4 linked regions of the Rattus norvegicus genome follow. The protein of the gene in region 3 purifies or fractionates together with the protein of the main gene of each other region. This does not show direct contact. Links are inferred from orthologs where the notes say so. Each region holds a gene or a part of one and is shown on either strand. Other genes may lie near its edges.

Region 1 (3,564 bases), on a different chromosome or scaffold from region 3:
GACTTGCTTTTAAAAGACTGACACCCTATTATTACAAAAATGACCGCGGCAACGTTTTTATTGCAGTGCAGTACTAGGAAGTAAAGGTCGGGACACACACTTGCTCAGCAAGCACTCTAACCACTGAGCTGTATTCCCAGCCTTTAAAAAAAAAATTAGGGGCCAGAGAAACGGTTCCGCCATTAAGAGCACGTGCTACTTACTCTCGGAGAGGACACAGGGTCTATTCCTAGCGCCTACATGGCGGCTCACAGCCCTATCTAACTCCAGTTCCAGGTTCGGGCGCCCTCTTCTGGCCACCATAAGCACTGCACCCATTTGGTACACACACTTCACAGACATGCAGGCACGCATTCATTCGCTTAAAAAACTAAAAATATGGGGTTGGGGATTTAGCCCAGTGGTAGAGCGCTTGCCTAGCAAGCGCAAGGCCCTGGGTTCGGTCCCCAGCTCCGAAAAAAAAAAAAAGAAAAAAAAAACTAAAAATATTTTAAGTTACCCAAGTTGGCTTTGAACTTACTTCGTACTCAGGTAGATCTTGTACTTGTAATCCTCCTGCCTCGGGCCTACCAAATAGCTGGGACATCATATACTTTTGCTACGATGGCCAGCTTAGAAATAAATTACTAACAGCTTTGGTTGGATGTGTAGCTTAGCTGGTAGAATGCTGGCCTGACAAGGTTCTGCTTCCAGCAGTGGATAAAAACAGGCACGGAGGGCTGGAGCGGTGGCTCAGTGGTTAAGAGCACCGACTGCTCTTCCAGAGGTCCTGAGTTCAAATCCCAGCAACCACATGGTGGCTCACAACCATCTGTAATGGGATCTGATGCTCTCTTCTGGTGTGTCTGAAGACAGCGACAGTGTACTCATATATAATCAATAAATAAATCTTAAAAAAAAAAAAACAGGCACGGTGGCACTCTCACACAATTACACTACTTCAGAAGTGGCAGCAAAAGGAAGTTGAAGGGCACCCTTGGCTACACAGTCCCAAAGGACTCTTTCTGGCCTCCAGGGGTCTCCCTCACACACATTTGTGCATATGTTCACGTAGACCCACACACATAAATGACGAAGAGGAATGGCTAATGGTGGAGTACTTGTGCCAGACACTGTGTTAAACACCTTCCTCCTGCTTATTTAATCTGTCAACAATGAGCTCACAAGGCAAGTACAACACTGTCTCCACTTTGCAGGACACTGGAGAGCGAGGTCATAAAAGCAGCGGACTCAGGAGCCCAGAGCCTCACTCTTCCTCCACCAGTGTAGTCAGTCAAGAGATTAAACAAGTTAAACTTCATCAGTCTAATGATACAACTCACTTTCCACAAAGTAGCAACTCAAGAAAAAGTCCCATATAGCCCTGCTTAGCAAATGACCCAGTGCCCTAGTAAGTAGAGAGGCAGGAACAAGGCCATTCTCTATGGGGAAAGAGAGGCTGCCCACAGGGCTCTCCTACCTATATACGCTTTCCTTTAGCTCCTAGGAAATCACCTGGCCTAACTGGACACAGAGAGGTTCCTCCCAGCACAGCCAAGAAGGAGACCTGGGACACAGAGGCTCAGTTCATAGAGCCCTAACCAGTCACAACTCATCCTGCAACTGTCCAGGCCTCAAATCCCATCTTCTGGGACATTTAGGGCCCTGGGGGCATCTGCAAATGACAGTCCTAAAGCCATGTGCACCTTTGTCCCAGAAGGGAATGGGACACTTGGACTGGTAGAGTATTTGCCTTTGTGATGGGACCCCACAACTGAATCAGCTCCCCCATGCCTGTCCTCAGTACAGTGCTAGCCCAGTCTAAGCTTGAACACTGTGACTCTTCCACCAGACTGGGGGGTGGGGCAAGTTGTTCCCTGTCTTTCTCATCAGACATGAAGTTTCTGGAGTGAAAAGAATATGTCTTTCCAGTAATCTCCAGGTCTCTCCAACCCCCACCCCAAGGGCTATCAATAAAATCTCCTTATTACATTTCTAAGACCCCAGAAGCCAAGAACTCTGGGCTCCAATGGCACCCTGTGACGTCCAACACATTCGGAATTCACTGGGGCGACTTCTCTATCTCTCTTTGGGTAGTCACGCGGTCCCTTCAGACTTCCCGAGTCCTCAAGAGTGGGAACTGTGAAGCCGGCCGGGCATGGTGGTGCACGCCTTTAATTCCAGCACAGGGGAGGCAGAGGCAGGCAGATCTCTGTGAGTTCAAAACCAGCCTGATCTACAGAGGTGTTCCAGGACAGCCGGGGCTATGCAGAGAACCCAGATTGAAAAATCTAAAGGGAGTCCAGACCTTGGCTCTGTGGCACCCCTTGTGTGTAGGTGGTAGTTTTCTTGAGTGTGTACTGTCTGCCGCAGGTGTCATCCTCATCGAGGAGGCCCTTGCTGCTGACAGAGGGCACACAGGTATTGACACCGGAGTGGATGCCCGAGTCATAGGTGTACGTCTGCTGCCACTCCGTCACCTTGATGGGCTGTTCAATAAGGTTCATCACCTCCATCGTGGCTGTTGGAGACAAAAACAGGAGCACAATGTCAGCTGCCTAGAGAGACACCATTACCTCCAGTTCCAACTCAGCTGTAGCCCCCATCCCTGATATCGTCCCTTCTCCTGAAGCCCTATCATAGCCTCAAGGGCCTCAGAGGGTTACAGACAGCAAGGTACAGGGGTGAAGTAAAAGGGAACCCAACCCAAAATGGGCCTGCCTGACCAGAAGATGGCTTGGGGCATAGTAGGGCTGCAGGGGGACCATTAGGAATAAGCTCTGGGTTTTTGCAAGCTCCAGCTCTGGTGTGAAGACAGGAAACAGTCAGATCCCTCCAGCCCAGCCCAGGGCTCGCCAGCCTGCCCCAACCCCAACATTGCCAGTGGAAAAGGAGCTAAGGGTTTCAGACAGCTGCTGGGCTCTGCAGACCTGCTCTCGCTCCACTAGAGCTCCCTGGGAAAGGGTGCAGAGGCTATAACAAACTATCAGCCATTGGATGAGAAACTGGGTGGGGCAGGGAAGCTGTCTGACAGGTTCCTCTGGGCCGCCCAGGGCTTCCTCAGAGTTCCTGAATCTCCTATTCCAGAAGGGCTAAGGGAGGAAGCGTAACCAGGGCTTCGTCTCTTCCAGCTCCCAGCATTCTGAGCTCTACGGACCAGTTCAAATCTTGGCAAACGACTCCCTCACCAATCCACCTCTCGTTGGGTGCCAACGGCTTCAAAGTCAGGTTCCACCACACTCGATGAACTGCTGTGAGGATGGTGCTTGGGAAGGACTCTCTATGGTGACAGCACTTAGTAGGGGGTCTACTATTGGGGACCAGGTTGTTGCTGTCCTAACTGCATCACCCCTAGGGTGTTCGTTCACCATCCACTTTCTAGAACCCGGGCTAGAAGAGCGGAGTGGAGCAGGCCTCTTGGGGAGGGGGGGTCACTGCTCTTGAGGTCTCTCACCCTGTTCTGAGGACTTGGGGTCACTTTAAGGCTCACGGGCATCTGCACCTACCTGATGTGGGCTTGTTTGGTCTGTTTGGCCCCACTGTCATGGGCTCAGAAACTACCACTACCTACATACAGGCAGTCAC
Region 2 (3,564 bases), on a different chromosome or scaffold from region 3:
AATAAGCAATCAAATAAGGACGAAGTGTGAGCCCTGTTCTAATGCCACTCAGACCTCTAGAGGATCAGTCTACTCAAGCAGTGCCCAGCATGTGTGCGTGCACATTCACTCAGATACATTACAGTAAAGTCAGACATAAACCTTAGGGAACACAATATACTTCTCACTTCTAACACCAGTCCTCCCAAGTCACATCTAAGTCAGCCAACCCTGAGACTACTGCTGCTCCTGTGGTTATCTGGGTTAAATAATAGCATGATGCCCCCTCTCCAGCTCTAACCAGCAAAAGTAACAATGATCTCTTCTTCCAAAACATGGTTTACACACCCAACAATAAGCACACAAGGACATATGGGAAAGGAATATGAATATTGGGGATTTATGAACACTGTAACACTTTCTGAGAACAGATTGTTCGCTAGTTGAGATTGAACTGGAGCTAGGAGCTCAAGATGCCCAACTTCCCCAACCACTAAGTAGATATACTCTCCTAATTTTTCACCCTGAGAAAAAAAGATATTTCAAGGAAAACAGAAGTGACTCTGAGTGTAGCTACAAAATACAGTACCATAACTAGAAATAACTAGAACTGCATCCCTATCCAAAACAGGAAGTCACAAAGGGTTTCTAAAGTCCATCCAACTCAGATCAGTAACAAATCCCTTATTTCTTAATCAACATTTATAATATTCCTGGAACAGTTCACCGTCAAGTGTAAACACTGGACAGCCCAGGGCCAGTAGCATCTCATTAAGGATCTGTAGGCCTCAGTTGCAACCATGCCAACGTCCTACCTGCAGGTCTGATGGAGAAAGGGTTACCTGATGCCGACGGGTGAGGGTGCCGTTGGCCATGAGTGAGTTGGCATCTTGTGGTGAGACCCGGACGCGTTCCAGTTGCGCCGACACATGGCGCCGCTCCTCCTCCAGCGCCCGGGTCAGCTTCTCAAATTGTGCCTCTTGTTCTTTCACAGAGGCCAAGATGCTGGCGGTCGACTCCACCTCTGAGTCGTCCATGAAGGTAAGGGGAGGAGCCGCCGCAGGGCAGGATAAAAAGTAAGGTGGACCACAGAGGGAGTAGAAAGAAGGGAGTAGGTCCCCTCACTTCACACTAGGGGTGGGGGGAGGGGTAAGAGAGAAGAGAAAAGATCACAGGTCAGAGAAGACAGAAGAATTGTTAATCCCCAGCGCCAAAGATGCCCTCTGTGTTTTTACTGCAGTGCAGAAAGCAAGCCACCACCAACCAAGCTTGGGAGCCCATCACCAAGGTCTGTTCCAATAGGAAGGACCCTTCGCCTACTTCCCTCTTTAACACTCTACGAACTCCTTCCTATTGAAAGAAAAGGTGGCAGTTTGACCAAAGTCTCTATACTATTGGCAGGACAGAGACACCATAGCGTGGGATTAAAATTAGATTGTTTTTCTCTGGAAATATTTGCAGGCATCAGCTTAATAAAAGTTAACTCCCGGGTACAAGGACAAGTTACTTCTACAAGTAATGGACAACGCAAATTTTACTTAACCTCTCCCAAACCTGAACACTATAAATGTAGCTGTAGTGATAAATTATAATAAATGAAAATGTCAGTTAAGAAATGGAGATATTAGCTAAGTGGTGGAGGTGCATGCTTCTAATGTTAACACTTGGGAGGCAGAGGCAGGCAGAGCTCTGTGAGTTTGAGGCCAGCCTGGTCCACAGATAAAGAGTTCCAGGACAACCAGGGCTACATACCGAGAGAAACTCTGTCTTGGAATAAAAAAAAAAAAGAACCCAGTGAACTAGTCTATGGGGGGAGGGCGGCAATGGGGGGAGGGTTGGGAGGGGAACACCCATAAGGAAGGGGAGGGGGGAGGGGGATGTTTGCCCGGAAACCGGGAAAGGGAATAACACTCGAAATGTATATAAGAAATACTCAAGTTAATAAAAAAAATTAAAAAAAAAAAAACAATATTTCAATACTCATGCCAAAAAAAAAAAAAAAGAAAAGAAAAGAAAAGAAAGGAAGGAAGGAAGGGGGAGAGAGAGAGAAGGAAAAGAAAAGGGAAAAAAGAAATATAGAAGAACTTCCCAGATAGAAAGGCAAAAGAACTTAAACTTCCATGTCTCACACATGTGTAAAGAGGCCTTTCTATCTCACAAAACTATACTACATGATAGAGGGCAAAACATGCTAATGGGAACAACAGTGACAGAACCTCAGACACTGTACAAAAAGGCTTTGCCTCAAGCCATCTGTGGTGCAGGCCTGCAACCCCACCTTCTCAGAAGGTGGAAGATCACAACTTCTGTGGCTAGCCTACATAAATTTGTGGCCAGCCTGGGCAACTTAACAACATCTTGTCTCAAGTTTTTGTGGCCAGGTGTAGTAGCTCATAGCTTTAATCTCAGCACTTGGGAGGCAGGTGCAGATGGCTCACTATGAGTTCAAGGCCAGCCTGGTCTACAGAGCAAGTTCCAGAACAATCAGAACTACATAAAGAAATCCTGTCTCAAAAGCAGGATAGATAGATAGGTAGGTAGGTAGGTAGGTAGGTAGGTAGGTAGGTAGACAGACAGACATATAGATAGATAAGACAGACAGATAAAATGTATACTGTTGAATGGCAAACTAGGAGGAATTTTTTTCTCTCTTATTCCCTTAACTTCTCACCAAACACCTAAGGGAGAAAAAGGCACCTAAAATAACTTTTAATTCTTAATATATATTCCATACACACCTGTTAAGAGAAGGCCCGTAATTGATTGGTTTAGCACAGAGAATAGCCCAGTCTAGATTCAGATAAACCATGGAAGCATCCCAGCCACCTCAGCAAGCAGCAAGCAGGAAGGAGAAAGCTGCAGAAATATTTGGAGGAAAAATGAGAATGGGAAGAAAATAAACTACACCCACTGCATACATATAAGAGGGTGACGGGAGTATTAGAAATGAAAGGGGGTTATTTAAGAAACAACTTGGAGTTGCTTAATGAAACAAATACCCTTTAAACTTTGCTGTGTTCAGATATCTAGGCTTTGGATGTAGGATTAATTAAAGCACAGACTGCACTGTCACTGCAGTTCCTCTACTTGTAAATCCACGCAGAACCAGACCAGGGTACAATGTAGATAAAGCCACATAGGCAACTGATTTGGGGGTGAAATTTGTTAGAATGCCCTTCCCCCTCCTTCCTACCCTTAAGGCAGAAACCTCAAAGCCCAGTTCCAGCATGCCCACAAAGACATTGAGAAACCAATGTAATAGTCATGGGGGGGAAGACATGTGGGGACTAGCCTAGGCTGGGCCTTCTGCTCAGGCTCCGTTTCCCACGCTTCCCAGAGCCCCACCAAACACAAAAGCTAGGGCCTGTTTGCCTTAAATGTATCCGGCATTCAGCAGGCAAGAGTACCTAGAGGAAACTGATAAACAGGTGCCCAGTAAACTGAATTGGTTCAGTCACTAAATCCGAGAACACATTGAACTGTCCCTAAATGCGTCCTATACCCAGTCCTAGGCTCCCACAATCATTTATCAACCACTGTTCTCATTCAGCCCAATACCCAATGCCCCAGTGCCACTTTCCCATA
Region 3 (3,564 bases):
ATTTTTTTCATAGCTGTTCATGCAAGTGGGTCTCATCACCACAATGTTTTAAAACTGCACATCTTGACCACAAATTTGAAGCTCGTATTTTTTCAACAAGCAAATACATTCATAGTCTAATGCTAAAAATATTTTAAAATATGGTTGTGATTCCATTTTGGAAGTATGAACAATGACAGAAATATTTCTGTGAATATTAGCTTGTGCCAAGCACTGCTTTAAAAGCTTTATTTGGACAATTCTTCAAGGAGTGGAAATTAGCTATTAATTCCACTATACATTTATTCCACAAAATCAACACAAAGTTAACAGAGTTGAATGAAGACCTGGACTGCCGGGCAGTGGTGCATGCCTTCTATCCTGGCACTTGGGAGGCAGAGGGAGGGGATGGGTCTCAAGTTTGAGGCCATCCTGGTCTATAGAAGAGCCGAGGCTGGACATGTGTGAGAGCTAGCAAAGCTGTCATTTTGCATTTGTGTATGTTCTCCTTATTTTAGACATTTAAGAGAACATACTTATCCATTTCAACCAACTCTGACCCAGCAGATATTCACATTGGGAAAGAAAAAGTGTCAAAATACGTTTCAAAACCAACCCTTTCACAAGGCTCTTATATTCATTTTCTGAATATGCACAAAAATAAGTTTTCTAGCACATTGCAGGAATTCGTCAGAGAAAAAGCCTAGAGAAAGAAACACATGAAGAGTATATATATATACACACACATACATATAACACCACATTCTGGGAACACTGAAGTTAGACTTCACCTCTAGTTTACAGGGCATCTGTCTGTCTGTCAGGGCAGGAGAACAAGGAGGCCCATGATCTCAATGCCAGCCCACTATAGAAGCCATCCATACACACAGAGTACGTCACAGAGATGGCAGAGAAGTACTTTACACAGAGCAAGTGGGACAAGGGAAGAAAATTTGGGGCTTCAAGACAAAACAGAGCTTTAGAACCTTGAGAGAGCAAAGGTCTGCTTTCTGTGTACTTTAGCACTGTGGAAAGTCTTAATCCTTTCATCAGCACAAAAGGCACTGCTCTCTTTAACCCACAAAGACGACCCAACAAATCTATTTAATTACATACCATTGTCAGAAGCAAGGAAGGTAGCATTATAGATGTTGTTTTTGACATTTGGCGACTCTCTGTCCAGAACAGCGATAGTGGTGATCTGCCCGTTCACAGGGTCTATTTTCAGCCAGTTGGCAGGGTCAGATAACTTTGTGTATCTGCAAAACGAAAGTGCAGCAGCTCAAACACTTTTTGACCAGAAACTTAGCAAATCAAGCCTCTGTAAATTTTACAGGTTTAATTACAAAAAGGCAAAGCCCTCGTTGATTTGCATGGCTGTAGGTGACAAGCAGACACAGAATTTAAGATAGAAATGTTAAGTCCGTGGCAGTGATTTCGGGAGGTACGCATCGAAAGCACAGCAACGTGGTCTGCAAAGCTTTCTGGGTAAGACATGGTACACAGTCTCCCTGTGGTGAGCTGAGGGAAGATTTAGCTACCCTTAGTTCAGGCCCTTGCCTACTTCAATTCATAACATGGGTACTGACAATAGGGCTCAAATACACTCTCCATATTTTTTCTTTTTCTTTATTTCAGCTTTATTAACTTGGGTGTTTCTTATTTACATTTCGATTGTTATTCCCTTTCCCGGTTTCTGGGCCATTATCCTCCTAGCCCCTCCCCCTGTCCATCCTCCCCCTATTACCGCCCCCCCCCAACAATCCCATTCACTGGGGGTCCAACCTTGGCAGGACCAAGGGCTTCCCCTTCCACTGGTGATCTTACTAGGATATTCATTGCTACCTATGAGGTCAGAGTCCAGGGTCAGTCCATGTATAGTCTTTAGGTAGTGGCTTAGTCCCTGGAAGCTCTGGTTGCTTGGCATTGTTGTTCATATGGGGTCTCAAGCCCCTTCAAGCTCTTTCAGTCCTTTCTCTGATTCCTTCAACGGGGGTCCTGTTCTCAGTTCAGTGGTTTGCTGCTGGCATTCGCCTATGTATTTGCTGTATTCTGGCTGTGTCTCTCAGGAGAGATCTACATCCGGTTCCTGTCAGCCTGCACTTCTTTGCTTCATCCATCTTATCTAGTTTGGTGGCTGTATATGTGTGGGCCACATGTGGGGCAGTCTCTGAATGAGTGTTCCTTCAGCCTCTGTTCTAAACTTTGCCTCCCTATTCCCTCCCAAGGGTATTCTTGTTCCCCTTTTAAAGAAGGAGTGAAGCATCCGCATTTTGGTTATCCTTCTTGAGTTTCATGTGTTCTGTGCATCTAGGGTAATTCGAGCATCAAATATACTCTCTGAACTGGAGCCCTCTCATACAGAACCTAGGGGGGAATTAGCAGTTAAAACACACAGCACAAAGCACTCCTAATGCTTCACCACCTTACCATGGGAGAGACAAAGCATCACCGGAGAGATCTCATAAAACCCCATTCCTACCAGGATCCTCCACGTGGGGCAAAGCCTCAGATGGTGTCCTTCAAAGAGCCCCAAGGCTTTCATCTGGAATAGCACATTCACTTCTTTCAACTCCTTAAAACGTGAGCTGAAGTTTTACAACTCAGAGAACTAACACGTAGATCGGACACGCTACGGTCTATTTTGAGAGGTGAAGTCTACAGGATTTGAATGCGCCTACCAATTAGCCATTTAACTGTCCTGATTTCTGGGTATGGAGGACTGGGGACTTGGAGTGGTCATCTGTCAGCAGTCATCCTGAAAGCACTTAAACCAACTTACGAGTTAATTTTAAAGTTAACTTCAGCCACTACAGAGAACAGTTGGATGGAGCAGCTGTCAGTCACCCGGTCCCACCTCGGGATACATTAGGTTTTGCTGAGGTTGGAACCGTATTACACATCTTATAGGTTTGCTGTACAGGTATGGGGTGAACAGCATCCGTTGGCCCATTTTGGTCTGGCATATGTTCTCATTAGGCTGGACGTGTGGAGAAGAGAGAGCTTGTAATTTCCTGAAGCTTCCCTGTTAATTCACTGTGTTGCTTTTTTAAGTGTTTGATACAAAAGTGTAGGCTAAATAATTGATATTTTTAACGAAAAAGACAGAACAGTAGAAGGAAGATTTTCCTTCTACTAACATATGAATAGATGCAGTCTTGTATTTTTAACCTAATAAAGTCATGGATGCCCTACGAAGGAAATACACCAGAGAATCTAAAATTATTTCAGGAAACATGTATGTCTCCATTTGATCTTTCCATGGGTGCTGAGGACTGAAGAAACCTATTTTTGTAGCTTTTTTTTTAATCTCAAAAAATAAAAAGTATTTTCTGTAAGACTTCAATCGTGAGTTTTCTTTAGGAATGCAGCTCTCCAGGTAGGCATCTCATGCTGCAGTGGATGGCTCTATAGCCATGCATGTACAGAGAGAGCAAACTGGACCCAGTGGTTATAAAACAGAGTGGTTATGAAACGTGAAAGTGGGAAGGAAATGCAATAGGAGAAACTGGGAGGAGGGGGAGGGGAAGGGCCTAGGGATGCATGTGAATCTGTGCATGAAATTCCTAGAGTAAAGAACACTAT
Region 4 (4,290 bases), about 19 Mb from region 3:
ACACTCTAGGGCGGATCCTGTCCCTGACTAGATTTGGGCAGGGCAAGGTTGAAGAAAGCTCCAGTTGCCCTGAACAGCAGTTAGACTGTAATCAATTACCTCATCTGTCATTGACTGCCCTAAGCTTAGACTGAGAAAGACTTTCTTCCTCCTTCATTCAGTGCAGCATCTAATTTGCCCTCCTTACCAGATACCAACCAAAGGTTGGAGAGGGCATGAGCCTTGCCTTGAATAGATTTACAGGGCTCACTTCCCAACAAGGCCTGCAAACAGGGCTATCAATAAGTTACAACGCAAACAGAAGTTACTAAAAAACTTAAACACAAAATTTGCTACCAGAAATGAAAACGCTGGCTCTTGAGAAAAGAGTTCAATGCTTCAGAAGCTTTACCCAGATGCCTGGATGCCACCTCTACCCAATTTGTATCTGGATCCTTTCCACTCATCCAGGTCACCTTTACCCACATGACCTTCCCCACTAACTCCTTGCCTTTACACACACACCAATTCAAATTTTCTCTAAGCACCAGCAAGGAATAAAACAATGTTCAGATCGTGAAAGCCCTATATCATCTTACAGTTTTAGAATAAAATCTAAATCTGTGACCTGGCCTTTGCCTTCCCTGGCAACCTTCTCCCTACTTCAGTACTAACAATAAACAGATCTCCTCTAAACCTGTAGGCCTCCAAATGCCTAGCCAATGCTCAGGCTACTTACACCTGCTTCGGATCCTATTCCTTCATCCTGTCTAGGTCTCAGCCAGTACACAACCACCGACACCTTCAACAAGCAGGGAGAGCTAGCTGTACTATCACTAATGTGACTTTCTTTAAAATTACAAGATATAAGGAGACCCATGTGGGTCAGGAGAGAAACTACACTCAAAATAAAAAACTGGACGTTTGCGGCTAAGGTTGATGACAGAGGTAGGGGTGTGCAGCTCAAATATAGAGCACATGCCTAGCAAGCACAGCTCTAGGTTTGTTCTCCAATACAACAGTGTGGGGTTTGATGAGAAAAGGCACAAGGCGGTGAGTGATACTCAACTAGGAGGGGAAAAAAGCCACCCTTCATCTCTGATCACCATATAAAATGTTTCTAATGGGAATGGAGATGGGTGTCACACAACTGATATTGGAAACCAATATATTTGGTTAGAATCATATGCAAGAAAAGGAGGGGTTGAAAAGTAAAGGGGGGAAAAAACCAGAATATCACCATTCCACTTAAATGCCCTTTTAGATTTCCCTATTCCTTCTGTCGCATTACTTCAACTCATGCTTCACCCAGTTCAAAAGCCACCACCTTCCAGAACAGCTTATAAACCTAGTTAACACCCCCAACCATGCTCCCACAAGTTTCTGTTGTTTGCATTATTATACAATATGACCCAGACAGGTGTGATGGCACACATCTAAACCCCAACACTCAGGAAGCTTAAGCTAGTTTGAGGCTTCACAGTGAGATCCAGAATGGAAAAAGAAAAAAGGATATGACACTTGAGAAGCTTCCAGGCCTCAAAGAGAATTTTAAAAACCTGGTCTTTTTTTTTTTTTTTTTTTTAGCTTAGTTTAAGGCAGGAAGTATGAACAATTAAACAGAGGCCACCAATTATTTCCCCACTCAATCCTTTTGTAAAACAAAACAAATTCCATTTCATGAGGTAACATCCACCAGTAGTCTTTAAAAACCAACGCTAAACACAAAATAACCTTCTTAAAACACCTAAAAGATGCAAAACAATGATGAAACAGATTTACAGCATAAATTATTCTAAGTTCCATAGACACACACACACACACACACACACACACACACACGCACACTTAAAATAAAACCAAACGTTATGAAGGCACAGAAGTATCAATCCTCGATTTGAGCCAACCGCTCACTGAATTATTGGGGTGGCCACTGCTTGAAAACCAAGGTTACAAATCCAGTCAACAACATCCCCGCCCCCCAAGTTCTACACACATATTAACAAGTTCCTTTTAAAGTCGAAAGGCGGGTCATTGACATCGCAGGCTGGCGATGCCCGCCCTCGGGATTCTGAGGCAGGGAAACCGAGCGATCCAGGTCAGACTGGGCTACTTAGTTAGCAAGATCCGCTCTCAGTAATCAAATGTTAGTAACTCTAATGCTACTCCTGAAAACTAAGAGTAATGTCAGTCAGGTTTAGCAGCAAAAGAGGCTGAGTAATTTTAAGATAAAAATTAAACTCCATGCCACAAGTCCACACGGGTGTGGCGCACCTTAAGGAAAAGAGCGCTGGAGAACAGGAAACTACGACTTCCATTCTCCATGGGTCGGGCTGGAATGTCCGCTCCTCCGACCTCTAGTCCCGCAAACCACCAAGTTTCAGCCGCGGGCAGGGGGAGGGGAGTGGCCGACACAAATCCTCGAAACAATCGCGTCCCTAAAGCGCCCCACAGCCCGACCGCCAGGAACACGCCGCGGTTGTCCCTCAGTGAGGGAGACGGCCTGAGGCGCGACGCCGATCCCGCGCGCGCTCCCTGCTCCGGGAACAAAGTTTAGAAAGAGGGAGAAAGTTTTCCAAGGAAGCGCCCCGGCGGTCGCCCTGCTTCCCGAGCGTCGGGCTCCGCCCGCCCAGGCCCAGGCTGCTCAGGGAAGCCGCCCTAACCCGACGCTCCAGGGCGGCGGCGGCCGAAAGCCCGAGCCGGACACCCGGGACCCCGGCCTGAGGAGACCCGCGCCCCACCAGGGGGCCCCGCGCACCCCGAGGGAAGGTACGAAGAGTTACCTGCGGCGAACGGGGCGAGCGCTGGACGACTCCTGAGGCGCCAAGCCGACGGCCACCGCTTTGTCTCCCGCCCGTCCGGCTCCCAGGAGGAAATGGGCCGCCCTGCGCCCCCGCCCCCGGCCCGCCCCGCGCCGCGCCGCGCCCGCCCTTCCCGGCACCTCCCTCCGCGCGCTCTTCCCGGCGCCTCCCGAGGCCTCCTCACCGCTGGTCCCGGCCTGGCGCAGCCGGCGCTTTCTAGGGAGAGCCTCCCACCCGGAAGGTAGCCTGGCAACTCCAGGCCCGGACCCCCAGAAGTCCTTTTTGTATGGCCTTTGGGCACGGAGACCCCGGACCCCCGACGGGAAGGAGGGGCGGAGACTCGGGGAACAGCCCGCGGCGGGGAAAGGCGGGCGGAGGGCAGGTGAGTCACGGCTCCCGGCTCAGGTGAGTCTCGGGGCGCGGCCCCGGAAGGCCCCGCCCCGTCCGGCTCCCGGAGACCGCGCGGCGACGCAGGGTTCGCGGAACGCACTGCTGTGACCAAGTACCCCGTATCCTAGTCCAAGGCGTCCAGAAAAGGGGGCAACCTTCTGCTTTGCTTTAGGAGAAGAAACACACCAAGTAAAAGTTCCACCTCTCCGGGCACAGTGGAACGGGAACCTCAGGATCTGTTTTGGTCTTTTTTTCTTTTGTTTTGTGGTGTTTGTTTTGTTGTGTTATTTTATTTTTGAAGTAGGGTCTTACATAGCTCAGGCCGGTTTCCAACTGGCTGTGTAAGAAAGAATGACCTAAAAACTTTTTTTTATTATTACAGCAATGTTTTTAGTCTCAGTGTTCCGGAGGCAGAGACAGGCCAATCTCTGATCCGTGAGTTTCTGAGCTTGTGTGGAAATCAAGACGTGCGGTTTCTCTTTCACTATGTGGATCCTGGGGATTGAATTTACCCAAGTGCCAATTTACCCTGAATTCCTAATCCTCCTGCACACCCCCGCAACTCCTGAGATTATATTATAGGTCTGCACCATTACACCTGGTCTTTTAGAGCCTCTTAAAAAGAGTGGGAAAATGAGAGAGATGGCTCTGTGGGTAAAGGTGTTTGCCACTCTGCCAACAACTATCCTCGCAACCTGAGTTGTGGAAAGACAGAATGAAGTCCACAGAGTTGCCCTATAACTTCCACACTGGTACAGATGGCATATCCACCCATGTACATAGAACACATAATAATTTGAATTTTAAGAAAAGACAATTGGAGATGTCTCGGTGATAAAGTGCTTGCCTAGTATACCCTGGATTTAGTCTTCAGCACTACAAAAACAAAAACAAAAAAGACATACCTTCACAAGGCCATTCTTGTCCAACCACTTATTCTGTTTCTACCTTTGGGGTTTTGCCTCCCATAGTCCTCTCTGACTGCAGTGTCTATGCTTTCCCCTTACTTCACTTGACTATGTCAGAACGTAATGATTACATAATAAATATTTGTTTGGCCTAGCTATGATTCCAGTACTTGGGAGGCTAAAGCAAGACTCAAGGATTACCACTAGAAAGA

The links.
Region 1: the proteins of Cdh2 (region 3) and Jup purify together in Homo sapiens (co-immunoprecipitation; 4 studies listed by BioGRID and IntAct, with this or other methods). This does not show direct contact. The link is inferred for Rattus norvegicus from reciprocal best matches to the Homo sapiens genes CDH2 and JUP.
Region 2: the proteins of Cdh2 (region 3) and Ctnnd1 purify together in Homo sapiens (affinity purification with western blotting; 6 studies listed by BioGRID and IntAct, with this or other methods). This does not show direct contact. The link is inferred for Rattus norvegicus from reciprocal best matches to the Homo sapiens genes CDH2 and CTNND1.
Region 4: the proteins of Cdh2 (region 3) and Ctnna1 purify together in Homo sapiens (affinity purification with mass spectrometry; 4 studies listed by BioGRID and IntAct, with this or other methods). This does not show direct contact. The link is inferred for Rattus norvegicus from reciprocal best matches to the Homo sapiens genes CDH2 and CTNNA1.

What each region holds. Positions count from the first base shown.
Region 1 is NC_086028.1:85,813,913-85,817,476, forward strand, and holds part of Jup (junction plakoglobin), read right to left. Parts: intron 2,501-3,564; 5' UTR 2,496-2,500; coding exon 2,288-2,495; intron 2,045-2,287; exon of another isoform or gene 1,480-2,044; intron 1-1,479. UniProt on the Homo sapiens protein: Common junctional plaque protein. The membrane-associated plaques are architectural elements in an important strategic position to influence the arrangement and function of both the cytoskeleton and the cells within the tissue.
Region 2 is NC_086021.1:90,113,637-90,117,200, forward strand, and holds part of Ctnnd1 (catenin delta-1), read right to left. Parts: intron 2,836-3,564; exon of another isoform or gene 2,718-2,835; intron 1,111-2,717; 5' UTR 1,017-1,110; coding exon 822-1,016; intron 1-821. UniProt on the Homo sapiens protein: Key regulator of cell-cell adhesion that associates with and regulates the cell adhesion properties of both C-, E- and N-cadherins, being critical for their surface stability.
Region 3 is NC_086036.1:8,087,270-8,090,833, forward strand, and holds part of Cdh2 (cadherin-2 precursor), read right to left. Parts: intron 1,239-3,564; coding exon 1,096-1,238; intron 1-1,095. UniProt on the Homo sapiens protein: Calcium-dependent cell adhesion protein; preferentially mediates homotypic cell-cell adhesion by dimerization with a CDH2 chain from another cell. Cadherins may thus contribute to the sorting of heterogeneous cell types.
Region 4 is NC_086036.1:27,001,138-27,005,427, reverse strand, and holds the start of Ctnna1 (catenin alpha-1), read right to left. Parts: upstream 2,829-4,290; 5' UTR 2,763-2,828; intron 2,588-2,762; exon of another isoform or gene 2,254-2,587; intron 1-2,253. UniProt on the Homo sapiens protein: Associates with the cytoplasmic domain of a variety of cadherins. The association of catenins to cadherins produces a complex which is linked to the actin filament network, and which seems to be of primary importance for cadherins cell-adhesion properties.